Astyanax mexicanus: one gene and its partner. The protein of the gene in region 1 purifies or fractionates together with the protein of each later gene. This does not show direct contact. Links are inferred from orthologs where the notes say so. Each region holds a gene or a part of one and is shown on either strand. Other genes may lie near its edges.

Region 1 (16,414 bases):
TCTAAGGAAAGGAGAGATTCAAGTTCTTATTAAGAGGCATGTTCGGGCAGTATGGCAGAATGAATGGACACAACAATCTAAGGGCAGACATCTTTTTAACATTCAGCCTGGGGTTGGTTCGAGTTCAATGGGAGGGTCGGGTAGAAGAAATGAAGTGGTGTTGGCTCGTCTTCGTATAGGTCACACTTTACTGAATTCTTCCTTACAGCTGATTCAGAAGCATGACACGGGGCTATGTAGATACTGCACACAAAGGGAAACACCAGAGCACGTGATATTACACTGTAAAGAATATTCTGAGCAGAGACAGTTATTATTTGACACACTCAGAGTGAAGGGTCACAAGGATTTTTCTTTAAAGGGTTTACTTATATATGGGTCAGGGATGGGATTAGTGCACAAATATGTTTTGTTGTTCTTGAAGTCTATTGGGTTGTATAATTTAATTTAGTTTTTTTTTTTTTTTTTTTTTTTTTTTTTCTTTCACAATGTAGTCACTGTCCTGAAGTCTTGATTCACCCTCCAGCCTAGTAGATGGCGGTAATGCGCCAGTAATTGGCCTGCCAACCGCCATAAAATTGGAAAGAAGAAGAAGAAGAAGAAGCCAATCAGGGACGTTCACTGTTCTCCGCAGCTGATTAACTAGTCAGTTCGTCGGTTAAGGAACATTTAACGGAGGAAAACCACGATTTTTTTGTTAACGTTAATCTGTATGTTATTTAATGCAGTTTTTTCGGATTTATCGAACAGAATGGACGAAAGCAAAGCAAACGAACAACTTTAGTAACGTATTAGCAGAATTCTAATCGAAGGAAATGTGTTTATCGTCGAGTTTTCATGAAGGAGGCCCATGTTTCGACAACCTGCAGTTACTGTGAGTTAGCTAGCCTAGCCGACTAGTTAAGCTAGCCAGCTAACTAGCTACTGAACTGTTAAAGGCTAAAGTGTTGTTTGTCTGCTCTTTTAACAATAATTGTCGTTTATTTCCGTGTATATTACCTAAATGAGTGAGATCTAAGCTATTCTAGTTGTTTACAACACACAGTGGTCGTTATAAATGTAACGTTAGTCCGAATAGCTAGTTAACGCTAGTTTAGCTAGGTTTACCTTTATGCTAACTAACCTAGATTAGCCAATGGAATGGAGTTCGGACATTAAACGTTTTTAATAATGTTGCTATCTTATCTACTTAACTAAATAGCTTAATTATGGAATATTACTGTGCAGTCAGCTTCTAGCTACTTTTAAGTTATATGTTCTTTGTGTGTTTGTGGTTTCGTTTTAGTCAGGTTATTTTACTTTACTTCTGTGTAAAATAAACGTGATCTAATCTTTGTAACGTTAGTTATTTGCAACAGAGGGAGGTTAAATAAATGTTATCTAGACCTTTTGAATTGCATTTTATAGGAAAATACAGTTATATAAAGTATACACCGTTATATATACGGTATGTAAAGTTGGTGAATTAAGGTGAATTCTGGCAAAGGTCTGAAACTGTTTAATTTGAGTTGTGTTGCAAAGAATATACGGTTTTATTTAGAAATTATATGTAAAATAATATATTATATTATATTATTTTTATTAGCTTGTTCTTTGTTAAAGAAAGTATTTTTACTGAAATCTGGAGAGAAGTAGATGGCGCTCTAGGAGCAGGGTTTAATCTGAAAAGAAATTATGCCACCTGGTGGTAGTGTGGTCACATGGCTTTTCAAAGGGTTGTCATTTTTGTTCGTTTCTTTCGTATCCTCACTAACCTGGTAGATAAAATCATAAAGCATTTGTTAATCCCAGTCCTACCTTGACGTTTTTCTCTGTGTTGGTACATTTGTATGCAATACTAATGCATTGATAAAATGACAGCAAAAGCCTCTTAACATTTCTGTGCTGTATAAGCTCAGTCTCGTAAAGTATCGTGAAGTGGCACCAACCAATAGCTTTGTGCGTGGAAGCATTGGTGGTTCAGTGGTAGAATTCTCGCCTGCCACGCGGGAGGCCCGGGTTCGATTCCCGGCCAATGCATCACATTTTTTCTTAAACCCCCTCCTGAGTTAAGATTTTTTGATATCTCAGTCCGATTATGTGCTGCAAAAGTTAATCAAATATTTATTTTCCTTTTTTTTCCTTCAGTTTATGAAATCACAGTCCACAAGCTTCCTTGTATTGACTTCTTGCGAACCATGGGAACGTCTCCTCTCACTGCTTTGGTGAACGAAGTACCTGATAAGACATTTAAACACGTTGTTATTATGATTTTTCTCTTTTACATTTATATAGATTTCTGTATTGTTTTGTTGCACAGGTCATTGAAATGAACAGTTTTTTCAGGTTTAGTGGAAGACATGACACTCACTCCTCGTTAGTATAGTGGTAAGTATCCCCGCCTGTCACGCGGGAGACCGGGGTTCGATTCCCCGACGGGGAGAGTACTCTTTTATTTCCCCTTATTTCACCGCGGTCACGCCATCTGCACTTAGAAAACGCTCGGTCGCGCTATCCACACCGAAAACTGGAGTGCGCGTCTAAACCGTGTTTTACTGTAGCAGCGTGTCCAGCGCACCCGGAGGAGCAGAGACTGGCGCTTCTCGTGCAGAGACTTAAAATGGAACAGAAACTAGTTTTATACCTAAATAAACATGATTTAACGAGATCTAATCCACAAATATACACCAGAATGAACACTGCTTATCGGTAGAACAGTGTAAAGTTTTGGAAATGTTTGGAGAGCTATTAAATAGGCAAATCAAATTGTTATCATATCACAGCACTAAATTCTTAGAGATCTTATTCTCACGTATCCCAGATATATGTTTGAAGTGATATTACTGTATCATTTTGGAGTAATTGGATACCAAAAATGTCCATTCAGTTTTGTAGAAAAAATTTGTTTGGAGTGCAAAAAAATCTAATTGTTATCATATCAGACAATGAAATCCTTGAAAAAGACATTCCATACTCTTAATGTCATGCACGTCAAGTGATTTTGCTGTATCATTTTGGAGAAATTGGATACCAAACTTAGGAAAAATGTCTATTCGCTTTTGCATAAACCACATTTCAAAGTCCTATAAAAGCTGGTTTATAGGACTTTGAAATGTGGTTTATGCAAAACTCACCTACTGTCCTGCAGAGCTCTTTAACTGTACCGCGGAGGTTTTTAACTGTAAAAAGCTCCACAGGACAAGTAAAAAGCTCCACGGTACAGTTAAAAAGTTCTACAGGACAGTTAAAAAGCTTCGCAGGACAGTTAAAAAGCTCCACGGTACAGTTAAAAAGCTTCGCAGGACAGTTAAAAAGCTCCACGGTACAGTTAAAAAGCTTCGCAGGACAGTCGTTGAGCTTCTCAGGCCAGTTAAAGAGCTCCGCAGGACAGTAGGTGAGTGTCGCGGGACAGTACGTGAGTGTGTACTAGTTTCTGTTCCATTTTAAATCTCTGCAGGAGAATCGCGAGTCTCTGCTCCTCGGGGTGCGCTGGACACGCTGCTACAGTAAAACACGGATTAGACGCGCACTCCAGTTTTCGGTGTAGATAGCGCGACCGAGCATTTTCTAAGTGCAGATGGGGTGACCGCGGTTTATTTTTTTTCTGTTTTTTTTTTAATGCTTTATTTTAAAGCAATCCTTTCAATGACTAAAACGCCAATCCTGGTGAAGTGTTTCATACAGTGAATTTTCTTGTTCCTTTTGAACGTTTTCACTTGTACTGCAGCTTTGTATAGCCTACTGGCAAACGTCGTGACCACTCCTCGTTAGTATAGTGGTAAGTATCCCCGCCTGTCACGCGGGAGACCGGGGTTCGATTCCCCGACGGGGAGAGCAAAATTTTCTTTTCTTTTTTCCTCCTAAACTCTGCGGGGACTGTTTTATAAAATTATTTCTTAGATGAACCAAAGCTTGAAAGCTGTTTTAATGTTGCACTGTTTTAATGAAAACCTATTTTATGTAACTAAAGTAGCTTAATTTCAGTAAAACAATAGTGTTTACACCTAATATTTAATCTTGGGCCGGGGTTTTGCAAAGAGATTGTCTTCTAGTTTATTGCTTATCTTTTAGTTTATTCATTACTATAGCTGCTTTATCTAAAAAAAATGTAAAGAAGACTAAATGACAGAATAAACAATAAGGTTGACAGTTGTCCACAGTTTGCACAGGATAATTGACTTTTGGATGGTTTTAATGTTGGTTAAATATGCTTTTTTTTTTTTTATACAATTAATGACTGTCCCTGTTTTTGTGCTTGGTATTATGGACTCAAAAGCTGTGACTCTCAAATTGAAAAGAAAACTTATTTTGTGTACCTAAAGTAGCTTATTAAAGTACATCTAATGTATCATCTCTCGCCAGGGTTTGTCATTTAGTTGTCTGTAAAGCTATTGTAAGATGACGATTTTCCTGGGGTGGTCAAGGGTTTTGTGACAGTTTGGCCGGTTAGCTCAGTTGGTTAGAGCGTGGTGCTAATAACGCCAAGGTCGCGGGTTCGATCCCCGTACGGGCCAGTAAACTTTTATGTACTTACTGTGAGGAAAATAAGTATTTAAACACCCTGTGACTTTGCAAGTTCTCCCACTTAGAAATCATGGAGGGTTCTGACATTTTCATCTTGGGTGCATGTCCACTGTGTGAGACACAATATCTCATAAAAAAAAATGTAGAAACCACATTTTTTTTTTTTTTTTTTTTTTTTTTTATGAGACATAAGTGGACATGCACCTAAGATGAAACACCTGTTTATGACCTCAAACAGGTGCTTCTATTTTAGAATAATAAGTGGAGTGGAGATGGACTTTTAAGAGGAGGAAAACAGGTCTTTGAGGGACAGATTTTTTGTTTATTATGATTGTCTTTCACAGGTCTCTGCAATATTTTCAATGCCACATTGTTGGCCATGGCTGTAAGTAGGACAGCACTATAAATCTGAATCAAGTGGTTTGTGGTTATACTTTTCTCTGAAATGACCCATTTAACACAGACTTGGCCGGTTAGCTCAGTTGGTTAGAGCGTGGTGCTAATAACGCCAAGGTCGCGGGTTCGATCCCCGTACGGGCCACTAGCCTCCCCCCACCCCAAATAAACACAACTACCTTTAGATTCTATGCAAGTGGAGTTTATCACACTCATCTATATGCACACACGAATTAATCATACCCTGAATATCTAAATTATAAAAATTAAAATTAGTTAACCACTGTACCATTATGTATGCAACATACACATAACAAAACATAAAGAGCCAGATTGGGGTTTGCTAGAACTTGAAGGCAGTAATTTTGTGGTTTGCCTTTTCAGTAACACCTAGTAAGTAAGTTAAGTGTCTCTTCATACTTTTTTGACAAAGTGCTGTTAGTTTATTATTTAATTTACACTCACTAAATGTGTCGGTCCACAGGCCTGCAGCTACTTTACAGTTTTTTTTTATCTGATCTCACACCTGCTTCAACTGTTCATTGCATTGTAATGTAAGGCACCAGTGCTCCAAGAGCTGGGGGTATTTTATTTTACTAGATTACGTGATCTATAAATAGTATATGAGCTGTAAATCAGGCCTTTTCAACAGGATGGATAATGATTAACCTTAGCAATGGACTGTATTGGTACATGGCCAGTTGAACACTCACTCCTCGTTAGTATAGTAGTGAGTATCCCCGCCTGTCACGCGGGAGACCGGGATTCAATTCCCCGACGGGAGAATGCCTTTTAGTTTATTGCTTGCTTTATAAAGCTGGTTCATCTAAAAAAATGTGAAGAAAACTTGCTACATGTCCATTAACTTGTTTTATGAGTAACGTGGTTGGACTGTTTAAAATACTGGTAGGAAACAATATCAAAATTCTAAATATGTTATACGGGTGTTTAACAATCTGTGTATGCCCCCGACTGTGTGCTTGGTATTATGAACTCTAAAACTGTCAATCTCAAACTGTGAAGAATTATTTTATGTAAAACTTAATTAGCTTTAGTTAAGTAAAAATTATGTTTACACCTAATATTTAGAGACAGTTTTACAATCTGTGTTGTTCCAATGCAAACAATAGATACATATGAACATGTATCCTAAAAATTTTGTAATGCAAAAATGTTCTGCAATGTTTTTTGCAGGGGTCCGACACTGTTTGGCCATGACTGTAAGTAGAACAGCACTGTAAAAACTGAATCAAGACACTGTATTGTATTTATTTTTTCCTGAAGTTGCCTTTCCTTGTGGACACTTTGGCCGGTTAGCTCAGTTGGTTAGAGCGTGGTGCTAATAACGCCAAGGTCGCGGGTTCGATCCCCGTACGGGCCAGTAGCCTTTTACCCCTCATTTCAGACACACACAACTACCTTTAGTTTCTATGTACTTGATGTTTATCATACTCATCTGTAAGCACACAAGTTTTAATCATACCCAAAATAGAGAAAAAGAGCCAGACTGAAGTATTATAGAACTTGAAAGCAGTAAATTCATAGTCTGCCTTTTTAGTAACACCTAGCAAGTTTAGAGTACCTTTATACATTTTTTTTGACAAAGTGTTGTTATTTTATTATTTAGTTAAATTACACTTACTAAATATGTCTGTCCACAGGCCTGCAGCTACTTTACTGTTAGTCTCATCTGATCTCACACCTGCATGGCAACAGTGCACCATGAGCAGGGGGTATTTTATGTTATTAGGTTTTGTGATCTAAAAACAGTAAATGAGCTGAAGAAAACTTGCTGTATGTCCATTAACTTGTTTTATGAGTAAAGCAATAATGTTGGCATTGTCCAACAGGTTGCACTGGTTACTTTTTGGACTGTTTTAATACTGGTAGAGGACAATAACAAAATTCCAAATATTAACAATCATTAAATGCCTCTGACGGTGTGCTTGGTATTATGAACTCTATAGCTGTCAGTCTCAAACTGTGAAATAAACTTATTTTATGCTAAACTTAATTAGCTTTAAGTAAAAAAAAAGTATGTACACCTAATATTTAGAGACTATTTTATAATTGGTGCTGTTACAATGCAAATAACAGATACACATGAACATGTATCTTTAAGCTTTTGTAATTGGAACAATGTTCTGCAATGTTTCTGCAGGGCTCCCACATTGTTTGGCCATGGCTGTAAGTAGGACAGCATTGTAAAACTGAATCGAGTTACTGTATTGCAGTTATATTCTTTCCTGTAGTTGCCTTTTTTTTTTTTTACAAGCAGCTTGGCCGGTTAGCTCAGTTGGTTAGAGCGTGGTGCTAATAACGCCAAGGTCGCGGGTTCGATCCCCGTACGGGCCAGCAGCTTTTTCCCCTCTCGTCTGAAACACACACAGCTATATGGTTGGATTCAAAATTTCAAATATGTTTTACGGTTGTTTAACAATCAGTGGATGCCCCTGACTGTGTGCTTGGTATTATGAACTCTAAAGCTGTCAATCTCTGTAGAAGAAAACTTATTTTATGTAAAACTTAATTAGCTTTAAATAAAATTATGTTTACATACTTAAATACTATTTTAGAATTGGTGTTGTTATAATGCAAACAATAGATACATATGAACTGAATCAAGTCACCGTATTGCAGTTATTTTTTTTTCCTGAAGTTGCCCTTTCCATGTAGACAGTTTGGCCGGTTAGCTCAGTTGGTTAGAGCGTGGTGCTAATAACGCCAAGGTCGCGGGTTCGATCCCCGTACGGGCCAGCAGCCTTTTACCCCCTCACGCCAAACACACACAACTACCGTTGGATTAAATGTAAGTGAAGTCATTTTAGAGTATCTTTTATACATTTTTTGACAGTGTTATTGTATTTATTTTTTGTTTTTTTAATTACACTTACTAAATGTGTCTGTCAACAGGCCTGCAGCAAATTTAATGTTCTCATGCCTGCTTTAACTGTACATTGAGTTGCAATGCAAGGCAGCAGTTCTCCAAGAGCAGGTGGTATTTTATGTTATTAGGTTACATGATCTAAAAATAGTAAATCAGCTGTAAATCAGGCTTTCTCAGCAGGAGGGAAATGTGATTAATCTTGGTGATAGACTGTACGGGTACATGGCAAGTTGAACTCTCATTCCTCGTTAGTATAGTGGTGAGTATCCCCACTTGTCATGTGGGAGACTGGGGTTCAATTCCCCGACAGGGAGAATTCCTTTTAGTTTATTGCTTGCTTTATAAAGGTGTTTTTTCTAAATAAATGTAAAGAAAACTTTCTATATGTCAATGAACTTTTATGAGTAAAGCAATACTGTTTGCATTATTGTATCATTGTAATAAGGGTTGTTTAACAATCAGTGGATGCCCCTGACTGTGTGCTTGGTATTATGAGCTTTAAAGCTGTCAATCTCAAACTAAAGAATACCTATTTTATGTAAAACTTAATTAGCTTTAAGTAAGTAAAAAAGGTTTACACCTAATATTTAGAGACTATTTTATAATCTGAGTTGTTACATTGCAAACAATAGATACATATGAACATGTATTTTAAAGCTTTTGTAATTGCAAAAATGTTTTTCAATGTTTTCTGCAGGGGTCTCACATTGTTTGGCCATTATTGTAAGTAGGACATTACTGTAAAAACGAAATCAGGTCACTGTATTGCATTTTTTCCTAGAATTGCCTTTTCCGTGCAGACAGCTTGGCCGGGTAGCTCAGTTGGTTAGAGCGTGGTGCTAATAACGCCAAGGTCGCGGGTTCGATCCCCGTACGGGCCAGCACCCTTTTACCTCCTCACCAAAAACACACACAACTACCTTTGGATTCTTTGTAAGTAAAGTTTAGATACAGGTTGATGGGCCATGTGTGTCTTTGCTGCAGTTGAAAAATATAAAGGAGAACATTCTTTAGTGTCCTATGTTTTGACCCTGACCTGCATACTGCTGAGAAGCTTCCACGCGACTGGAGCGGATGCTTAAAAAAACATTCTTGGCCTACAGTGTGTGTACGGGACCTTCAGGTAGGCCTATGTGTCAAGTCAAAAGTCGACATCTATCATCAAAAATAGACTGAAATTTTAAGAATATGGAGAAATGCAAGAAGGGAATGTATGGTGTCAACAGAAAAAACAATTGTGTGTACACCTGTATGTACTATTTAGACTAAAGTTTTGGGGCACCTACAGAGAGTTTCTCATTACATAACATTTTAAATCTGTGAGCAGTAAATTGGTGTTCCCTTTGTAGTTATACCTAGTGTTAATTAATGAGCACAGCTAAATGTTACTTGATGCAAATTTGGCCGAACTTCCTCCCATAATTTATACTTATTACAGAGTCTGTTGACATGTGAGTTCAGAAGGTAGATTACTTTTTAATTTGTTGAAAACGTTCATGGTATGTCTTCGAAAAGGGGGCAGGTGATGCAGTAATTTATTATTATTTCTTAATTATTGTGCATTCCTTATTTCATGTAATGGGGAGCAATTGGCTTTTATTTTATTGTTCCTTTTCACATTAAATACTGCAGCCTCTGTTATCTGTTGCACCATTCAAGGTGGAACTGGAAAGTTAGTTGAACTGTTTTTACCATTACTATAAAACATTGAAATTACACTGTAGTAATATAATGGTTATCATTACGAGGAAAATACTCAAATTTGTGGGTTTCTTTGGTCGATTGTGCCACTATCTTGCTATCTATAGTATATCCTAGTATATCACAATAATGACTCATTGAAGCAATGTACTTAATAATGAAAAAAATATGTTTTATTTATATGGTGGAAATGGGATTCCATACTTAGTTTGTTAATTCCACACCAACCTGTTGCTCTGGTGGCTGATTGCAGCACCACGCTGAAATTTAGAGAGCTCTAGACTCGCCCATTCTTTCTATAATGTTTGTAAGGCATGCTGCATGATGACGCTTCATTATGTGCAACTGTGTTCCAATACTTCTGTCCATGTAGAGAAGATTCATGAAGATTGATAGGGATTTTTTGTTTTTTGAGGTGAAGTGACAAATAGAAGTGTCACAGTTTGGCCGGTTAGCTCAGTTGGTTAGAGCGTGGTGCTAATAACGCCAAGGTCGCGGGTTCGATCCCCGTACGGGCCATCATTGTTTTACCTCTCGGGGACACTGCACTTATCTGTGAATTAACGTTTGATTATAATAAACACGAGTTCGGTTGTTTAGCTAAAAATTCATCGTTCTCTTTTGAATATAGGATTTTAATAACCAGATGGCAGCATACACAAAAATGTCGAGGACTGAAATCTAACGCTATAAAGTTTCCACGTGAATTTTAGTAACGTTAACCTATATTGGTGTGTATTAAGTGCTTAACCCATTAGACCCTGTATAAACACCCACACCTATAAGAACCCAGACTCATTTCTATACATTGACACCAATTTCAAAATGAAAAAAGATACATTCAGTGAGCAGCTCATTTATGTTTTTCTTATTGTGGGCACATGACTAAATATTTAAAGAAAAAATCACAAAGTAACATAAAATGACAACTATTTCATAAATATTAACATTTTGTTATAGAAATAAGGTCAGAACAAAGAATTTGAATGATTGGAACATACACGTAGAAGCAAATAATACATAATCCAGTTTAGTTTAATCACTTGTGTATCCTGTAAATAAGATGAACAGATTCACACACTGTTCTTATGTCAATAAAGAACTTAATGACTCAAAATAAAGGGCAGAGTGCTGCAAAGAACTTTACAAAGCTTTTAAATGGTCTTTGACACACATTTATGTCATTATGGGTTTTTTTGGGTTAAGTTCTTTACTCTCTACAGAAATAGCATCTGGCCTACAACATAACCCTGTGGAGAGCCACACAATATGCTAAACCAATTACAATGCTCCCAAATAATTCACTATTTTTTAAGTGCTGAATAATTTATCTATAGGGATCAAGGGTATGCTATATACTCACCATAGATTACTTCACAGTTTTCCTCTGTCTCAAGCTTCCTGAAATATCTCGGTAGGAATCCTGTACTGACTTAGCTAGCTCGCAGATTGCAACAGCAAGCTAACTCTAAACAATCTGTAAAGTTTTGGAGAAAAATGTGTTGGAAAAAAGAGAGGACCTGTGTTTTTTGTAGGCTGTGCCTGGAGGGTTTATATGATTTATATCAAGGGTTTGCACAGCGTCTAGAAGTTTCAGAAGCACTGCTTTAACCAAGAAGAATCTTACCGCTCCACTGCTAGTTCCCACAGAAAGGTGGCGATGTGCGACTAATTGCTGCTGTCTGCCAGAAACAACGAGGAAAAGGAGAGTAAACACAAGCGTGAGTGTACGTATGTCGAGTTTGGTCTAAAACTCTCCCAGTAAGGATTATTAAGGCTCTAGAATATAGTGTTGGACACATGGCGGGAATAAAAGATAAAGAGGCTTTCCAGAGGCTGAACTTCCTCTATCAAGTAAGTAACCTGATGAGAAAACTCAACTTTCTTAAGCTAAATAGCTAAATTAAATAACTAATCTCGTTTTTCCACATTTGAAATACAGGCTGCTCACTGTGTTTTAGCCCAAAACCCAGAAAATATTGAACTGGCGAGGTTCTACTGCTTCACCCAAAAAACAATAGCCAGACGACTGGTGCTGAGACAGTGAGTATCAGTCACTTCTACACACAGTTTAATTTAATGGAGGTAATGCAGGTAATGATTTTAACCCAGAGGAGCCCACGGTGACATGTTACAAACCCTTAAAAAGTTGTGTAGAGTTCCTTCATTTTAATTCAGTAAGTCTCTAAGTGACACAGACTGAACATCCTGAGAGCATCACAACATAACACTGTTTGAATCTGTGTAGTTCATCCATCTGACTATATTTATAGAATGTAGGAATGTTGGGTTAGTGCTTGAGATAAAACTAGCTCCTTCTTTGGCTTCTACTGCTTTTTTCAATCATTTTAACAATTCAAATACTTTAATAATAAATATTTGTTCTGCTCTTTATTACATCATGATTGTGACCCAAATTTTTACAGTCATATGGCAAAAATAGTAAGAAAAATCCATGAATGCGAATTTATCTCCTCTCTTATGGGTTAATAAACTGACTATAAAGATACTCTGATGGTCCACTGGATAGGCTGTTCTTGCTGGTTGAACAGGTAAAACACATCAAAACAACCTATGTTGTTCAATAGCTAGACTGGGAATTACTTAAATTAACCAGCTAAGCAAAAATTCTCCCAGGGTTGTTTATTGTAAAACAGTAATTCATTGGAAACTCTTGTGATGCTTGTATAAGATGTACTGTGCCTTCTTACAGAGATCCCTCAGTGAAAAGAACCTTATGTAAGAGATGCTGCTCTCTACTGATTCCTGGAGTTACATCAACTGCCAGACAGAGTATGTTCTGCTCCTCTCCTTTCTGCTGATCCCGGCAGTGATTTATCTCAAGTTTTTTTGTAATGTATAAAAAAATAATGGGTTGGTTTGATAAAATATACCTACATGGATTTGTCTCATCTGAACATATCAGGGAGTCGCAGAAGGCAGTGTGTGACTGTTATACGATGCCTAAGCTGTGGACTGAGCAGAAAGTTTCCAAACAATCCAAAACATCAGCTGTGGGTGGACCAGCCAGAGGCACAGCTAGAAAATCAGCCTCAGACAGGTAAGAATGATGACTCGTCATGATTTATTTCTTTTTAGTAAGCTTAAACAAATAGATGAAATTATTCAATAAACGCTCCTGAAATGTTGCCATATTTTACATTTTCTGGTAGATAGATAGAAATATTTACCTACATACTACCATGTTTATTTATTTATTTTATTTTAAGTACAGTACACTGTAAGTTATATAATGATTATATAATGATGACAAAATCCTGCATTTACCAACCATGGTTATGCATGGGGCACAGCCAGTTCCTTCCCCTGTGCTCTACTGTCTCTCTCTCTCTCTCTCTCACTTATCTTTTAACTACATGAGAATGACAAGATCCTACACCTAACACTGTTTGGTATTTGACAAAATATGTTGTATTTTGTACCTCTACACAGTTTCATATATTTGTCTTTGTTGTATTGTGTGCCCACAGAAACACAGAATCAGTCATCCAAAACTGCAGTCCAGGGTGATACATCTAAATCCAGCAGTGCTGCCCCATCAACACACAACCCTTCCTCATAACTTCCCAGAATCCCTGAACCTCTTCAATATCTGATTTACCACTTCAGACTGTTTATTTCTAATGATGAGGATTATGCTGGTGCTATGATCCACGTCCTCTGCATGTTGTTAAAATTGCAAGACCACTGTGTGACATTTGATTACCTGTCTGTCCAGATGAAAAATGTTCATGCACTGGACACAGGCTCTAAATGATTGCTGTGTTCTTTTGCGTAGAATCTTTACAATCGTTGCTTAATTTATTTTCATGTCCACATTAAAAAGTAGTTTATATGACAAATTCACAGTCTGTACTAAATCCTGGACCACCGTATATATATTTATTGGTTGTGAAGCTTACTATTAATACAATGTTGGGTAGAAGATTGAGTGGCATTGTTTGTTAGAAGTTAGATTTGCCTGGTAAAATAAAGGTTTAAATTAAAAAAAAAAGAAGAAGTGGCCTAACATCATAAAGCATTGTTTGGTGTATGTTTGTTTACATTGAACATTCAGAAGTTAGATCACAACACAAAGTACATAATTTTTACTGCAGTTTTTTTTTTTTCACTTTTAAAAAACTTTACAAAGAAACTTGGTGACAAAAGATTTCATGATCTGGAATGGAAAGATGTTAAGACAGTCTCTGGTATTTGTTTAATAGAAGAGCAGGGGTGCCTTTATTTAGTTCTTTTTTTAAAACATGTTTTTAGTAAAGAGCTAAAGAGCATTTCCCCTGTAGAGGAACAAGGCTAAGATCTTGCCTAACAATATGAGGTTGTATAATTATAAAAAGGTTTTAGATCACAATTCATGTCGTTTATGGTTTTATATTTGTTAAGAGTTTAATTCAAAAGTTTTAGAATTAGAATTGCATGTCTCCCAACACATGTATGCTCAGTTCCTTGTCAGTCACATGCAAATGTAATTATAAATCATTTAGATTAGTGAGACATTTCATCAAAATCAAGTGATAACATATGTCAAAATGTCCTAATAAGATGAGCAATGAATTTACTCTGTAGATCTTTATTACTAGTACACAATTTATAGCTGATACCTGTAATTAAGAGTTTATACAAGTTAAAACTACATTACAGTGATCTTGCATAGGAGTTTTACTGGTAAAATGTAATACTTCAGACATTTCAAAGCTGATGTCTGAAATGTACAATGGCCCTAAGGGCGCATCATGTAAAAAATAATAATGTGTGGCCACGATATAAGGCGTGGGAACAAGATCCTAATTAGATAATTAAGTGGTGGCGATGACTTAAATGTCCACATCTTAAAAATGTGTCCCCAGGCTGGTCTGTTTCGCACGCTTTAATAAGTTGTGGCCAACCCCCTTTTGGTTTTTCACCTTAAGGGCTCGGAGTGTTTTATATATATATATATATATATATATATATATATATATATATATATATATATATATATATATATATATATATATTATTTTTTTTTTTTCAACACTCATTTGTTTATCAGTGAGTTACGCTATCACTACTTGTTATTTTAGGCTAAAACTATTAAAACAATTGTAGCTAGTAACTTATATGTTTGCCTGATTGTGCAAACGTAAGTAACAGACTTAAAATTCATGACATAAGTAGTAGTTAGCTAGTTTGATTCAGGAGCACAGGAACAGCTTGTAAAACTAGTAGCTAACACAATAATTTGGTACTACACTATTAAAATGTCACAAGAAATTGGTTCATTGTATTTAAACTGTAAGGTTGCTCAATCTAACGTTACCTACTAACCTAGACTAGCTGTAGTTCAGCTGCTGGTGAAACAGTCGCAACACTAGCTGATGAAACGAACTGAACATACTTACGTTTGACGTTAACTACCTAAAATATCTGTGAAAAACACCTCACGACGGCAGTTCAGACATATTAACAACTAACGTGAAGTTTACTAAAACAAATAAATACAACGTGATTAAGTTTAGCAATGTGTTTAATATATGGTGTTTCTCGAATGTACAACGTAGATTCATGAACCAGTGTGTCGATGCAGTAGCTTCATGGGCCAGTGGCGCAATGGATAACGCGTCTGACTACGGATCAGAAGATTCTAGGTTCGACTCCTGGCTGGCTCGATTTTTTTTTTTTTTGAGAAAGGTTTTAGTTTTATTTAATTGTGATTGGTGGGGTACTGTATGGGCAGTACTTTGTCCTGAACCATTTTAACTTGTTAACTTTGTCTTCTTGCATGAGGAAGACTTGAATGTGGTCGGACCTTGTATGGGCGGGGCTGGGGTCTTCTGCATTGGGATTGGTTGGATTTTCTTCATGCAGATTGGTTGGAAGTTCTGTGGGCGGGGCTAGAACTTGTTCATTGGTTCCATCAGACAGGGCATGTTTCGTCCAGAACAGAGCCGTAGAAAGATGTCTCTATGGCTCTGGTCCAGAAGGGACGCTTAATACTGTATGGGCGGGGTTTAATTTTATTAAATTTTATTGTTTGGATCTTAGATCTTGTGTGGACCGGGATGGATTCTCTCCACTGGGATTGGTTGGATCATACAGCTCCGGCAAAAAATTAGGAGTCCACTTCACGTTCTGAATCAGTTTCTCTGATTTTGCTATTTATATGTATATGTTTGAGTAAAATAAACGTTTTTTATTCTATAAACTACGGACAACAATTCTTCCAAATTCCAAATAAAAATATTGTCAAATTGAGCACCTATTTACAAAAAATGAGAAATAGCTGAAATAACAAAAAAAAAGAAACTTTCAGACCTCGAATAATGCAAAGAAAACAAGTTCATATTCATAAAGTTTTAAGAATTCAGAAATCAATATTTGGTGGAGTAAACCTGTTTTTCACCAGTCTTACTGCTTTTAGCTGCAGTTCAGCTTGGTCTGATGGCTTGTGATCATCCATCTTCCTCTTGATTATATAAGAGGTTTTCAATTTGGTAAAATCAAAGAAACTTTTCAGTGATCTCTTTTTTTCCAGAGCTGTATATGGGCAGGGCTTGTTTTGCCCAAAGGGACTTCATCCATTAAGACTTTTTGTACATTGCATAGTTGGGGTTTGATTTTATACATTGAGACTATTTGACTATTTTATGTCTTTTATGGGCAGGTTTTTATCTATTGAAGTTTGATATTGAAAAAATTACACAATCTTGTGCAAAGTAACAAACAAGACAAGAGCCATAGCTGCAGAGGACTTTTATCCTTCAGGATCTGCTTCCTCTGACACATTATACAGCAAGGTTCTTAGTTGTTGGTGAAGCAGCACATGACTTCTCCCCACGTTCCAACACTGCATAACCCAAGTTATGTTTGTGTAAAATCCTGTAATATGACGCTACAGCACCAGTCAACCTACTTTGTCCACCAACT
Region 2 (16,315 bases), on another chromosome or scaffold:
CAGGAACTGGGTCGGCGTGACAGAACCGCTCTCCCCCTTCAGGTCAGAGGGGATGAGCGAGGGGCACAGGAGGTCCTGCAGAGTCCGGCAGTGGAGAGCAGGTCTACACTCCTCATACAACTGCTTCGACAGCAGGTCCAGGAGAGATACAGCTCCACCTGCAGCTGAGCAACACAGGGAATTACAATGCAGCAAATACTGTACGCCCACTGACACCTCAGATTATCCCACCACCCAAAAAAAAACTAATATTAGCACAGGTCAAAAATAACTGTAACTGTAATAAATGGTCATTGCTATCTTACATCCCGTCATGTATATTTTTATGACTTGTCTCTGCATCATTTAAATAAAAACAACGGTCTTGAATTAAGGTGTGTTCAGGTAAATTTCAACAGTCAGATGTTCATTGCTATCTTGGCAGTGTACTTTTACATTAATACACAGTTTTATCTGCGGAGAAGCGTTGGACATGTCCAGGTAGCTTCACCTTTGAAATAATAATTCACCAAAGTCAGAGTGCACCTGACTCTTAAAGGGAATTGCAAGTACAAGACTAATTTTTGCACATTTTGAGCCGTGCATGTTGTACTTTTCCTGTTGTTACAATAGCAAAGACACACTGACCCTAAATCAAGCTGCCTGGTGCGCGGTAGGTCGTTAAAATAGAGTCCATTGTTCCCTCACAGTATAGGCCTTTAAGGCTCTTTTATATGTAAATGATGTCTGTACTAATTGTACAGTCTGCATTGCACCTCATTATAAATCACTCCAGATGTTTTCTATGATGTTTTACAGCAATTTTTAGAGATTTAATTCCAGACTAATGTTCAGGTGATCGGGTACAGACCTGTAAAGAGGAAGTCGGTTTTCAGTGGAACTCTCTCTTTCAGACACAGCAGAACCCGCTGATATTTCTTCGTGCCCAGAACCAAAGATTTAAGATCCACAGTAACAACTGTAAAAATAGAAATATAAATAAACATTCCTGTGGATGAGACAGTAACAGTTTATTAAAATTGTCTGATTTCTGTTTTTTTTGTTTGTTTGTTTTTTTCAGTAAATGTTTTTTTTTTATGTTAAGAGAGTTTACATGCACTTCATAATCTGATTATGGAGGATCAGTTTGTCAGCAATCCAATAAATTCATCTACATGAATTTGGGTGATCAAATAATGGAAAAACTCTTTTTTTTTGCTACCAGCCAATAATCTCACATAATAAGATGCATCGTGAACATTATTTAAAACCCAAAAATCAGATGAACTGAGAAATACGATTACTGAGCTAAATTCCAGCACTCTTTTTTTAGATTTGTTTATATGATTTGTAGATGTTACTGAGATCAAAAATCTGAGCTCTAAAAATTAAATCTGATACACAAGAAGCTTATTAATAACTACTGTTTATATCCCATAGCGTAAACTAATCTCTGAGCACCGCCATCACTGTACTGATCAATATTTTACTTTAAAATGTTGGTGTCATGAGGGTTACGCTACGGGTTACAAACAGTGATTTTTATTAAGCTTCTTGTGCACTTTTAAAGTTATTAATGTATTGTTTTAAATGTTAGGGCTCCCCAGATTCTACCAATGAGAGATGGAGATACTTTGAGCCTGAATAACGGTGTAAAAAGCGATTTATCTGCAGGAGCCAAGTAGATGCCCTGAAGCGCCTGTTGTAAAGAGTGCTGGGCAAAAAGCACAAAATAAATGGATCTCGGAAAAATGCTGGAGAGCGGAGGTGGGCTATTCATCAAAGGTAAGTACTCTTTTATCATGTTTTACTACACCAAAAGTCTTTTTTACACCGGAGTTCTCCTTTAAGTAGGATGCAGCAACCTATTTATAATCGGATTATGAAATGTGTATATAAACGCACTCACTGTGGATACAGTTCAATGTGTACATCTTAATATTTTAAGAAATCCTCTGGTTAACTGAAGGCATTACTGTGTCTGACGGTCTTTCTGTGACTGTATTGGGAAGGTCTTCCTTCCAGGCCCAGCTGCTCATATGTGTCCTTATCCAGAGACAAGATCAGCTGACCTGAAACAAAAAACACATTAGACAATGTTAAATTAAATAAAATCACATTAAACCACACACATAATCTTGCACAGTCTGTTTCGAGAGTTACACTTTTTTTGATATAGTATTGTAGCTTTATGTTACATCCTTGTATCAGTGTTAAATGTATTTTATAGGGGATCAGAAATGCATTACCAAGCCCTGATCTTAATACTAAGACATAACTGAGTCTCGTGGGGTACAGACATTCTATTCATTACCCTAATGCAGAACTAACTCTTTCACTAGTTAGTGAATAGTGAACAGTTAACTCTATTCATTCACTTACAGAAAACAGAACTCATTCTTGTCCAAATCATAGTGAGAATATAGAATTGAGAATGAAACTAAATCATGAGCTGAGTGTAATCATTGTATTGTGAAATACTACAGGTCTCTCTGAGTTGTATACGATGCTGCACATGAAACACTTCCTCAACATCCATTGACTGCAGCAGCTAAGAAAAGAAAATATTCAGAAAAACGAGTTGATCAGGAAAAGCACCGTGTCTACATCAACCCGTGAATTAGTATTCATGACCTCGCCCACCTTGGCTTGTGACCGCTGTCGTGCGTTATTTCACGACTCTTCTAGGCCTCCCAGAAAGGGAAGCCTGGGCTAGCTAAAATGAGCTCTAAAACTTATCTAGTCATGCATCACTACAAAAGTTCTAAGTTCAAAAGAAACAAGGTAAAAACAGACGAGAGCCTTAAGTTTAAAGAAAGGAGAAGACCAGTCTTTCCGAAGTTCTAAGTTGATCTTTTATTGTTCTTGAAGTCAGCCAGGAAGCTTCAGTCTTCTGATAATACAGAGGAATACACACACTTTTATACAGTATTTGGGTGAACAAAGGTGGGGGCTTTTAGCTCCACTTTTCCTTCTCCTGCCCAGCTTTCCCGTGGGATATTGGGCCTCTTGAGACACCTGGTATGACTCAGCATATTTCTTATCTGTCTCCCCCTCACAGCCGTACCCAGTGCAGACTGGGCCTTACTTGAGGAAGAGCAGACAGAGTTTTAACTGAACTCAATGAACTCGTTCATATAAGGCCAAATGTACTAATATATGAGTAATATAACATATATTGATCCCTAATATCCTAATTTAGGGTCCCACACCGCCCACAGGCAGAGCTGAGGCCAGACAGCACCACCGTCTTGTCAGACATGAGCTAACAGCGTTAGGAACAGCATGGCCATTCAGTCCTGTGTTATTTGTGCAAATAACACATCAGAGTTATGGTCTTTACCCAGTAATTCAGAGCTAAGGAACAAATGGTTAGAATTTGTCTATAAAACAACACCAGCCAAGTACATTCGAGATAGGTAGGTGTGTGTTTAAAACAGTTCTGTTTACAGTGGTTAAATTAAAAATCCCCCCCAGGATTTTACTGCGGCTCAGCCAACTCCTCCCTCCACTCCTCCACTGGACTAAAGTAGCATTATACAGAATCACTGGAGCACTTTTTATTCACAAAAAACAGCTCACATGGCATTCATTCATACTAGAGACCACAGCTTTTTTTAAAGAGACCACAGCACATCTTAAAATTACTGAGGAAAAAAAAAAAACGATAAAATGAGACCTTTAAGGGTTCTATAAAAAAAAAAAACATGACATTTAAATTTGCTCGTTTAAGCAGCTTTCACCTAGCTTTTTCGGTGCAGACCTTCTGACTTTTCAGTTTGTTCCAGTGTGAACACTTTTTTTAGATGGTTTGGAAGATACTGTATCTACCATCAGAAAGAGACTAAGAGACTATAGATATTGTCACCCATTAAACAATAGAAGAAGAAGAAGAACCAGTCTTGCCTAGGTCCTGTATGGGCAGCAGGTTAATCTGGTGATTCCTGTACGTGCTAGAACTGTAGACTAAACCTTGATTATAAACAGAAATAAAGGTATCATTCTGCTGCATGACACACACATCCATTGGTAGGAGGCAGAATTCAGCACAACGCCTGGAACACCTGTGTTCGGCCAGCAGGGGGCACCCTCCACTAGTGTTTTTTTGTCTGGATTTTTAAAAATATCTTTGTCCACACAGAAATGCAATACCACTCAAAAATTCTGATTTTCCAGCCCAGTTCCTCCTACAAAATAACATCAAAACACATGTTGAAGAAGGAAACCATCAGGTTTTCTGCTGAATAACAGGAGGATTCATATTTTTGCGGCTCCACTGTGTTCTGTAATTTGATTGTATCATGTGATAGTATAGTAATATATCTGATTTAAGGCTGTGTTTGAACAGCCAGATCTGAATTCATGTGACTTTTATGGCAGTGCGCCTTATGTATGAATTTTATCAGTCAGGTTGTAAGGAGCAGTAACACCACTCTGCTGAAGTACAGGAGTTTCAGTTTAGTTCTCCACCACCGAGACTGGAGCAGCATTAGCATTAGCCGTTAACCGCTTACTCTTTTGCCAATTAGTGGTGAGTGTATCAGATTGTAGACTGAAAGTTCCAAAAATAGTGTGCCTTATAATACAATGTGCCTTACTGTGTGAAGAATATGGTAGGTGGTTAAAAACGAGATAACAGACCTCATAAGTATTTGGATTATTGTGTGTCTTCTAATAATATTAGAAGGCTTGTGTTGCAGAAATGTGTTCTTTTTACAGAGTTGAAGCGCATTGATAAACTCAGCTGCAGCCTGAACTCATTCATAGCTCTTGAGATTCTGACAAGTATGGTGAAGTGAGATTTCACAGTTTAGGGTTGCTTTGATACAGGAGGGTCTGTAAAGCTCTCCACCTATACTGCTATGTGACAGGCGTTACAAGTGAAGGTTTCTCAGATTATGGCACAGCACTGGTTCTGTTTTTTTTTCTTTTTCTGTTGTTAAATTGACAATAGTGTGCCTTAACTTCTTGTAATTGGTCCAAGAGTCAAACTATCTACACCAATGTTTTACACTGTAATTGAACCAAACCAGGGTTCAGTGTATCCAGACCAAGACACCTTTTTAAATCCTCTGGAACAGGCTGTGGTTTGTGGCAGTTTTCACTATTACTACTATTTTAGCTCAGACCAAACACCTGAAAAGTCTGAAGGTCTGGACCAAACAAAGTAGATGTTAAAAAATTGCAAAAATGATGAAAACTGAGGACACACACACACTTTTTGCACATTACTGCATGTATGCACTTATGGTACTTACCGCTGGGCAAAACAGCAACAACATTGTCCTCATCAATTCTGGTTTTGGAAGACAGTGCATAGAAACCTCCTGAAGGATAAACAAACAGTGAATAAAGGACTCCATCACACCACAAGCACTGAATTGAGCCGCTTATTCTCAACTCCTCCACTCTCTCGAATTCCTCCTCACTCCTACCTTTCTTCACTGCATCCAGCCATTTCTCTTCCAGGAATGTAGAAACTGGAAAGTCTTGGACATGGAAATATGAGCTGAAATTACTAAGTACTTTCTCCAGCATCACAGGCAGTCTTCCACACTCAGGTATCAATAAGGAAATCTGCATGAAAAAAACTATATATTATATTTATCATTATATACATTACATATATAAACACCCCTTATTTTTACAGTTTACATTCACATTTAACAGCTACAAGAGAATGGCCTAAAATAATTCAGGGAACTCATGTATTTAAACAGTGAACTGACAAGCTGAATCAACACAATTCCTATAGAGCTTAAAAGCTATTTAAATCTGCATTTTATATTTTAATATGAAGTTTATCTGACTTTTGATAAACTTGAGTTATTGTAAAGCATATTTAGAAGGGAGATCCCTTTTTAATTTTAAGATGCTATATTTAGGCTATGTCCACCCTGACATGAAACAAATTTGAACTAATATGTATTTGGCTGTTCTTTTAGCATCCAGTTAAAAAAACAACTGACAACAAACTGGTTACAGCAAGAAGGACCAACTTTAGATGACTGGATCTAAGCTGGGGACATTAATATAAACTATAATGTTAAAGATAACTTTCTTAGTAAATATAAGTTTGGATGCATTAAAAAATAACACTGGAGTAAATAGACAAAAAAATAAGACGAGATGATAGAAGATGAAAAATAGAATACGAGTTAGCCCAAATCTATAACCTATATCCAAAATACATTTGGAGATATTTTACGGATATCAAATATACGAGATATTTTCAAAGGTATTTTTAAACTTTTACAATACAAGTTCTAAGCCCATAAAAACATTGTTAAAATGTAAATTTAGAATGTATGCCACTCAATATTTCAAGTTTATTAATTTTAATTAATTTATTGTCTGGTAAATTTTACTCTGATATACAGACTACAGACTGTAATAACTCCACACACACCAGCCTCACTTCCACTGCAGTCTCTCTTTCTTTCTGATTTAGTAGTAATAATGTACTGTTTATAACCGAGGCTCTCCGCTCCACCTTAAACTGTGCTGAGAAGCGCTGTAGCTGCAGCTGTTTTTAAGGTGGAACAGTATCTTACCCTGCAGTTAAAGCTGTGTTTCAGCGCCTGGGATTCATGGCGGGATTTCTCATTTTTGAAGTTTCCTTTTTCACACACTAACAGACTCCGCGGGCACTGCTCCAGCTCCGGGCTCATCTTACTCTATTTAATTGTGTTATTATTAAAAACTAATTTATAATAAAGCAGGGGGGAGACACACTGACAGTACAGCACTGCTCACCATGCCGGCTGAACCGTGTTTTTGACCCGCTCGCGCCCCTGCCGCCCCCTACTGACCCGGAGAGCACGTGCGTCTCCTTGTATACAACTAACTCTGTATACTTATAACCATCTCAATAATAAGTGAAAAACACATCATATACAAGCAACATCGCAAGCACCTCAAAACAAAAACACAAACAAACAAACCTAAACAAACAAAAAAAAACAGAGAAAAGAAAATTGTGATTTCCTACTTTTTAATTTAATAAAATGAGTCAGTAAGTGTAAATAAATTTTAGGTCTGAATAGACAAAAATCTGGAATTATGGTATTTTTAAAGCAAATTTATTTTTGTGAATATCAAATTTACCTAAAATTATAATTAAATTTACTATACATTTTTCCTTGCGCTCAAACGAAGGCTCATCAAAAATATACAATATATATTGGTCTTTGAGGGGAATTTCCTTACCCAACTTCCTCTTCAAGTCTTAAAAAAGATCGACCCAAAAAAAGGAAGAAAAAACACAATATGTGTTATAACCATCCCAATACTGCTGATATATTCATCAGTTCAGCTGTATATCTGTGTTTAACTGAAGTGACACGGTTGTAAACAAATATCTGCCATTAATCTTAAATAAATGATTAAATGATATTACTTTCTAATTAAATATATTATTAGTTAATTATATTTAATTAATGTATAGTGCATAGTAATGTATATTATATTTCTATTTCTTCATAATTGGATTGCTGATTGCAATGTGTTTTTTATTGCATTTATTAGGTCTATTTTTAACGTTTAGAAAAATTATATATTTGGATGGGCTACACTGCTGTAGGCTGAATAGGTAAAACTATTGGGTGGGGCTGAAGTGGCTGTAGGCTGAATGGGCGGGGCTAAACAGACTGTAGGCTAGAGGTCTGCGCGGGACTGTTTTTTTAAACCCGCTCCCGCCCGCTCCCGCGTCTTTTTGTCCCGCTCCCGCCCGCTCCCGCAAAAAAATCACTTCTTTTAATCCCGCTCCCGCCCGCCACATACACATTCCCGCCGCTCCCGTCCCGCAGTCCTAATATGAATTGAATTAATTACATTTAGTGCTTCAAATTTACATATGTATTTATTAAAACAGCAATTCAGTTCGCAGTCCAAACACATGCCATCAGGTGCATCAAGAATCCTAGAAGTGGATTAGAAGTGGATCTATATTATATAAAATAATAAATGTAAAAATATAAAAAATTAAATTCAATTAGTTTAATTAATATTTGTATTATTATTATTAATAATAATAATAATAATAACAATAATAATAATAACAATGTTTTTGTTATTGTTATTATTATTATTGTTATTATTATTATTATTATTATTATTATTTTGCACCAGTATAGTAAATGTCGTCCTTTAAATTACACACCCCCCTCCCCCCCCCCCCCCCTCCTCTGCACACGCCTGCTGGAGATGCTGAAAATGTGTGTGTGTGTGTCCATCCTCCGAGAGATTTTTCTTGTGTTTTTTTGTTGCTTGCATGGGAATCATAGCGTGATTATTATAATTTTCTTAACTATTTATCAATTTGCGGGAGCGGGACCACATGTTAATGTGGTCCCGCTCCCGCATGGCCTGTATTGATTAAATTACCGCTCCCGCCAATAACAATTCAGTTTTGTCCCGCGCCGCAACATATTCTGACGGGTCCCGCGGGTCCCGCGGGACTCCCGCGGGAGTGCAGACCTCTACTGTAGGCTGAAAGGGTGGGCTTTATTTGTGAGAGAGCTGTGAGACACAGACGGATAGCGGGACAGGCGGCGATAAATACTCCCAGGTGCTGACCCTAACAGCTGAAGCTAAAAATAGAAAGAGCAGAGATAGAGACACAGCGCTTCGTGCTGGTCACCACGCTTAACCCTTCCCAAATGTCAGTCTTATGCAAAAGCTTGGACACCTTACAGAGTTTAGTGCTTAGCACTTAGTAAGGCTCCATTTCGTCTGAAATAACAGCTTTTTTGGGTCATGTTGCAGTTCCAAATGCTTGGACCAAGAGGTCCATGGTGGATTTAAGGTCTGCTTTAGCCCTTTAACAGAGAACACATTTACAGGTACATCCATAGTTTGCTGGTGCTGTATATTTTTAAACACATTCTGCTCTTCACCAATGAAATACCAATTGATAATGCATCTGCCAACAACACAACAATAGCATGATGTGCTTAAAAGTTTGGAAAATTTCCCGTATTTCTGCATGAATTTGACCTAAATCATCTTGGAATGGCGAGAGTATATAAACCATTGTTTTCAGTATCTAAAAACTGAAAACAACTAAAGTTTTTTTTTGTAAGTGTTGTAGGAATTGTAGCCCATTGGTGTGTTTTCTCACATGACCAGCTACTTCAGCTCCTTCCAGGAAATTTATATTGGATTAAGGTCAATATAGTTTAATTAACCATTCTTTGGTAAAACAACTTGCATGATTAGGGTCATTGTCTTGCTGCATGACCCACGTTCTCTCAAGATTTAGCTCAAAGACAAATGTCTAGATATTATCCCTCAGAATGTGCTGATATAATTCAGAAACCATTGTTCTATCGTGATTGCAAGCCATCCAGCAGGCCCAGATATAGCAAAAAAGGACCAATCCATGAATCTATCACCACCATGTTTCACAGATAGGATAAAGATGTTACTTTCTTCAAACATAACACTAAATTTTGGTCTTATCCCTTCACAAAACATTGTTCCAAAAGGCCTTTATCAGTGACTGAAAATGCCCACAGATATGTAACATTAGATCGTTCTTTATTAACAGATGAAGAATGATAACAAATAGATCATTCATTAAAAAAAAGTCTTATATTTTTCATTTCATTTCATTTTTTACATATATCATTGTCTACTTTTAGGAAAAGTATGCAGAAATATTGATTCAGAAAACTTACAAGCACCTCTATTATTTTTTAGAAAAGTCCACACTTTAGAAACATCAAGATTTAACACTAGGCTGTATTCTTAAATCATATTTATTTAAGTGTTAGTACTACTCAATTAAAATAACATACAGAGGATCATTGCATTAGATTACATGTGTGAGTGTAAATGTGAGGGCATGGGGGGGGGTGGGACTACACCATGGGGATGGATCTTTTTCTGTCATGTTGAAATGTGGGAGGGGTGTTGGTCTCAAGGCTGTAAGTTGGAGCAACTGGGCAGTTCAGCAAATACCAGGAGATACTGTACATGCTTACAGTCAGACCACAAAAACGAGGGAATCATGACTTGTTAATGGCAGAATATTTATTGGATGAAGGGGAAAACTACAGTATAAATACAGTAGCACACTACAGGAGCACACTTGCTGTTGGAACTAAAGAATCCAGACCCTCTGGAAGAGCTGAGCTGAATATGGAGATCTACTAAAGGTTAATAGAGAACCGGCCCCAGAGAGGAATGATGTGGAAGAACACTGATTAGGACAGATTGAGTTGGGACTCTGGAGGGAATCCGTTGAGTTGAGCCGATCAGCTGGAGTTGGTTCACATTTGCACAAATGTTCCTGAACACTTTCCTCGTGGTTGTGACTGACCTTGCGGCAGGACTGCTGGGAAATGCCTTATTCCGGCGGCATTTTCACCTGCTGCTGTCGGCCATGGTGGTCTTTGGACCCCTGCTGAACTTTTGGGTTTCCCAGTACAGTGTTTTCGCCAAGAGGAGTCATTTTCTTTATAGGTAAGTAACACACACTTTATAACCCATACCTGAGCTTTACCTTTACCTTTACATCTCAACTCTAAAAGCACATGCTCCGACTCTCCAACTCTCACTCTAACTGCCTAACACATCAGATTAATACCGGATACTGAACACCTCGTACCGCATTCTGAACACCTTATACCTGAGCTCACCTTCACCTTCACCTCTAACAGCACACACTCTAACTCTCCAACTCTCACTCTAATTCACATCAGTTTCATACCGGATACTTAACACCTTTTACCTGAGCTTTACCTTCACCTCAACTTTAACAGCACACTCTCTAACTCTCAAACTTTCACTCTAACTACCTTACACATCAGTTTCATACTGGATACTAAACACCTCATACCGGATACTGAACACCTCGTACCTAAGCTCACCTTCAACTCAACTCTTAACAGCACACACTACAACTCTCCAACTCCTACTCTAACTCTAACACATAAGTTTCATACCGGATACTGAACACCTCATAGCAGATACTGAACACTTCATACCTGAGCTCACCTTCACCTTAACTCTAACAGCACACTAACTCTCCAACCTTCACTCTAATTGCCTTACACATCAGTTTCATACTGGATATTCAACAACTCATATCGTATACTAAATAACTTGTACCGAATACTAAACACCTCATACCTGGGCTCACCTTCACTTCAACTCTAACGGCATACAGTTTTACTGCCTTACACATCAGTTTCATACCGGATACTAAACACTTCATACCTGAGCTCACCTTCACCTCATCTCTAACAGTGCACACTCCAACTCTCACTGTAACTGGCTAACCCAGTTTCATACCGGATACTGAACAACTCTTGCTGGATACTGAGCAACTTTTACCTTAGCTCACCTTTACCTCAAATCTAACTTGCACACACTCCACACTCTCCAACTCTCACTCTAACTAGATAAATTTTAGATGATAAATTTTAGATGAGCTAAAAAAACTCATGCCTGCAACTAAATAATTCATGCTAAACAGCTCATACCTGATACTAAACAAGCCATACTGGATACTGAATAATTCATAGTAGACACTGAATTGCTCATAGCTAAAACTGTTCTTCAGTTGTTAAACCGGGGTGATTGGGTGGGGCGGGGTTGCCACCGTTCTTCAGTTGTTCACCGGCGTGTGTTTCGGAACTTTCGAATCGGACAGTTCTTCGCGCCTGACACTCTGCCTAAAACTCCACCCTCTTTCACTAGGTCTGCCTAACAACAGAGCGATCTATATTCTGATTGGCTCAACGAGAGTACATTATAATATACAGCCGATTGGATTGGCAATCGTGAGAAATACCATGTGTGGCGTGTGAGCGTGTGAACTCGCTGAGGTGCGTGTGAACACTGTTCATACTAGACACTGAATAACTCATACCTGCCAATGACTAATTCAAAGCATATACTGAAGAACTCATACCTGCAACTGAATAATTCATAGCAGAAACTGAATAACACATACCTGCAACTAAAAAATTAATACCGCATACTTATGCCTGAAACAGAATAATTCATAATGGGCACTGAAAATACGATGGATGCTAAACAACTCATACAGGATACTGAATAATTTATATTGGATAGTGTACATTCCAATAATTCCAGATAATTAATAATTTATACTGAATAAACAACTCATACCGGATATGAAATATCACACCAAATTCATACCAGATACTAAAAAACTAATACACCGATTTTGAATATATCAAAGTAAACCCAAACTGAAAGTGCAGTATAATACTGTTGCTTTTACTACTGTTGATGTGCAATGCATCCTTCTTGGATTGTGAAACTCTGACTTTCTGAAAAAGGAAATATGACTTAATGGAAATTTCCTACTTAAAACTAGGAAAATCCTAACAAATGAAATGCAGCATAACATCAGCTGATGGCAGTTATCAGCACTTAGAAGAATAACTGACATAAATAAACATGTCTTTATTATGGCATCATCCTGCTAATCAGGATCCAGCACCTCCCACACTCTGCCTCATGCTGCTGGGTGTTTCTGATAAAGTGGCTGCTGAGTGTAGATAAAAGGCTAGGGGACTGTCTGTGAACTCCATGTTGATAGAAGAGGAATCCATAAACACAACACTAAAAAACAACTGAACTAAAACAGAACTAGAACACAAAAAGAACACCTCAGAACACCTACTGGGTGGGGTTATAAACAAAACACAGGTGAGCAATAAGGGGGTGGGGCTATGGAGGACAAAATGAGGGTCAGTCTTTGAAAGAGGTTATCTGCATCCACAGCATTTTAAAGCAGCATAATGCAAGAAAAGGTTTTTTTTGCTCCTGGGCTCCCCCTACAGTAAATAAGTGTATATCATTTTTGAGCCAATCTTGCAATGAAAATTGAAAATGAAATGAAAATTTTCTGATTTGTTTTACTAATTTTTTTTTAATATCTTGTCTTTCTGTCTCTCAGGGTGTTCCTGCGGTCAGGCTGGGGCTGGACATGCATCTTCGTCGGCTCCTTCACCTTCCTCCTGACCTTCTCTGTCCGGCGGTCGATCCCGCTGACCCTACGCCATCTGTCACGGCTGGCTGTAGCGGGGGTGCTGTGGGTGGGCTTGAGAAAGGTCCTGGGTCTGCTAGAGAACGCTACAGGGAGCTGCTACGAGCCCCTGAGCTCTGCCCCTGACCTCTCCGCCGGGCAGAATGGTGCCGGTCAGCCGCTGCTGCTCTTACGGGAGGGCGAGACGAAGGCCGCGTGTGTCAGTGCCGGCCTGATGTGGCGCGGCTACGAGGTCTCCGAGGACGTCTTCCTGCTGTGTCTGTGCTGCCTCCTGCTTGCAGAGGAGACTGGCGTGTTCGGGCCCTACCTGAAACTGGGCGGGGTCTCTGGGGCCCCTCTGCGAATCATCTTCCTCTTTTGCGTCCTGCTGCTCAGCCTCTGGCTCTTCCTGCTCTTCTGTTTGCTGGCTTACTTCCCACAGTTCCCCACTCAGCTCCTAGGGGGCGCTCTGGCCTGCCTCAGTTGGAGAGCAACGTATCAGGGCTGGTACCACATGGGACCAAGCTGGTACTGCCCTGGAAGGCCAGGGATGGGGCTTCTGACTACATAAAGACGGAATTTGATTGGAATGATCAGGATGTCACTCTTTAAATAAAAAACTACCTCAGAAATGTTTCTGAAGCAGTAATGAGTGTCAGTGTTTCCATTTAGTCTAGTACGTTTACTAAGTATCTCTTTTGATTTGTCACTGTAACAAATTATCTCAACAATTTTGACACCAAGAAGTTTTTGGATTTACACAAACTGTGCTTATAAGGAGGTCAAGAAAGAGGCCTTTTATCCTGGCCTGGGTCTAATAAAGAGGTGACCATGGGCCCTATTTTAGCGCTCTATAGTTAAAAATACACCTTACAAAAGGAATGTACTAATTCTCTTAATTAATCATGGGTTTGTTTTGGGCGTAACATGAAATAAACCAATCAGTGCACTAATTTCCATTACTTTTAAGAACCTCATACTGACCTGCGCATTAATGCTGTGAAGATACACCAGCAGCAGGTTATTTAAGAAAACAGCAATGTAATTTTATTCTTTATTATGTTTATTGTTGAGGTAGTGATAGTATGTGGTTGGGTCCATTTTGCTTGGGGCCACCAAATGCCTTGAATCAGCCCTGGCTGAGGGCACGCTGTGCGCTTGGTACTCCTGCATGGCTAAGATATGATTGGGCGGCTGACAGTTATCATGGTTTTAATCAGTCAGTGGCATAGTTGTGTTTCCCACCGCCAAAATTGAAACATGACAGATATTTACCTGAACACACCCCACTTCTTATCCACCACGGACATCGATGTAAATATATTCCTAAACTTCGATGCAATTTTAATGCAAGGCATGATAATAAACTGTTCACAGGATGTAAGATAGCAACAAGCATCGCACCACTCCTTGTGCAAGGTGTACGATAGGGCACCATGTGTGTCTGCAGGTTTATGTTTCAGTCAGGCTGGAATGCTCCGGATTCCACTGGTCTCTTACTACAATACCCAGCATGCATTACACAAATACCTCTTGCAGCCACTGGGAATGCCTAATCCCTTTTTTTTTACTACCAGAGACTTTATACTAGCTTTTTTGCTGAGCTACAGCCCAATAAATACAACCAAGCTATTATTAGCATCACTCTTAACAACTTAGCAATTTCTTCTTTATTCATCACAGAATGATTTTGTAAAAGGTCCACTATGATATGGACGTATTTATAATGAGTTCAAACTTTTGTCGAACAGCCCACCTCCATTCGCCCCATCAACCCAGCATTCCTAAATACAGTGCTTTTAGCCGATGCCCCCAACTGGCTCACAATGAAAGTGGTATGGGCATAGTGTTACCCAATGCAAAGAAATGCTTATTTTTACATCATTAACAAGCTCAAAGTAGCGCCACACTTTATAAATGACCTAAAGGTATTGTGTGTATAAACAGTGTTTTTGTTTTTTCTTTATAAACTATCTGTGCACATTCAAAGGCCTCAGTGTCTCATTTCAATTAAAAAGAAATCTACCAATTAAGTTTGGAGCTACTTTGCGCTTGTTAAAGGTGCAAAAACAGCATTTTCATGCATGGGCAATGCTATGCCCCTATCACTAGCATTGTAAGCCTGTTGGAAACATCGGCTTAAAGCGCTGTATTTCAGAATGCTGGGGGTGAAAGGATGTGGGCTACTATCAAAAGTTTGTACTTGTATATTTAATACCGGATTTCGGATTTGCCTATACCAGAGGTGGGCAATTAATTTTCCCAAGGGGCCACATGAAAAATATTAACGGTTTTTGAGGGCCAGACTAATATACTTAGCTCGGCCTACACGGCATTTATAAAAACCCCTTTTGTATAAAAAAATCAGTAAATGAAACATTACAATGATACATTAAAATGTGGTGGATTATATAACATAATAAACATATAATAAACATGGGATGGTTCAGTTTAGAAAACTGTAAACATTTTACATTGCATTGACTGTAGCACCACAACCTGATCTAAAAAAGCACATTCTTCTAAGACCAGCATCACTTTAACTTAATAAAGAACAGTTAATGAATCATTACAGCGATGCAATGAAAATGTTGAGCACATAATTATCGAAATATTTTATGAACATTAAATTGTGCAACATTAAGAGTGTTTTAAACTAGAAGCATTATCAGCTACACACTTACACAAAAAAATCAAGTGTTTCAAAAGCATCATTTAACTTTATACAAAAAATGCAATAAATGCATTTGTATGATTGTTCTTCCTCAGTTCTTTTTTGTGTTCAGTGACAGAAATCTAGCCTGTTTTGGGCTTGGACAAGTGCATTAAGGTCCGACTGAATATCTAATGTGGAAATGCAGCAGGACAGCAAACAAGTGATCAAATCTGTTTTATGAACAACTGAAAATAGATTTTTCCTACGTTTGGTATTCCATTACTCCAACATGGTACAGTAATATCCCTTAAAATATATCTTGAATACATGAGGAAGAAATCATTAAGAATTTAGTGGTGTGATATGATAATCCTTTGATTTTCATGTTTTATAAGACTCTTATTTTTCAGTATTATTACTGGAAACATACATGGTGAATACAATTGACAATGTTCTGTTTTACAGATTGTGTTTCCGGTGTGTATATAATTATTAGACACAGAAATTTAGGCCAATTTAGGGCCATACAAAAAAAAATAAAAACAGTTCCCTTGGAGAATAAAGTCGTAATATTACGAGAATAAAGTCGTAATATTACGAGAATAAAGTCGTAATATGGCGAGAATAAAGGTATAATATTACAAGAATAAAGACGTAATATTCCGAGAATAAAG

The links.
Region 2: the proteins of ribonuclease P protein subunit p21 (region 1) and rpp40 purify together in Homo sapiens (co-immunoprecipitation; 3 studies listed by BioGRID and IntAct, counting the BioPlex papers as one, with this or other methods). This does not show direct contact. The link is inferred for Astyanax mexicanus from reciprocal best matches to the Homo sapiens genes RPP21 and RPP40.

Annotation. Positions count from the first base shown.
Region 1 is NC_064423.1:28,900,230-28,916,643, forward strand, and holds ribonuclease P protein subunit p21, read left to right. Parts: upstream 1-10,815; 5' UTR 10,816-11,287; coding exon 11,288-11,341; intron 11,342-11,429; coding exon 11,430-11,530; intron 11,531-12,200; coding exon 12,201-12,280; intron 12,281-12,413; coding exon 12,414-12,548; intron 12,549-12,978; coding exon 12,979-13,070; 3' UTR 13,071-13,531; downstream 13,532-16,414. UniProt on the Homo sapiens protein: Component of ribonuclease P, a ribonucleoprotein complex that generates mature tRNA molecules by cleaving their 5'-ends.
Region 2 is NC_064411.1:30,812,773-30,829,087, reverse strand, and holds the start of rpp40 (ribonuclease P protein subunit p40), read right to left. Parts: upstream 6,773-16,315; 5' UTR 6,651-6,772; coding exon 6,534-6,650; intron 5,557-6,533; coding exon 5,415-5,556; intron 5,307-5,414; coding exon 5,238-5,306; intron 2,052-5,237; coding exon 1,956-2,051; intron 959-1,955; coding exon 851-958; intron 165-850; coding exon 1-164. Other genes in the region: fitm1l (fat storage-inducing transmembrane protein 1), read left to right, coding at 10,268-10,446, 12,917-13,556. UniProt on the Homo sapiens protein: Component of ribonuclease P, a ribonucleoprotein complex that generates mature tRNA molecules by cleaving their 5'-ends. Also a component of the MRP ribonuclease complex, which cleaves pre-rRNA sequences.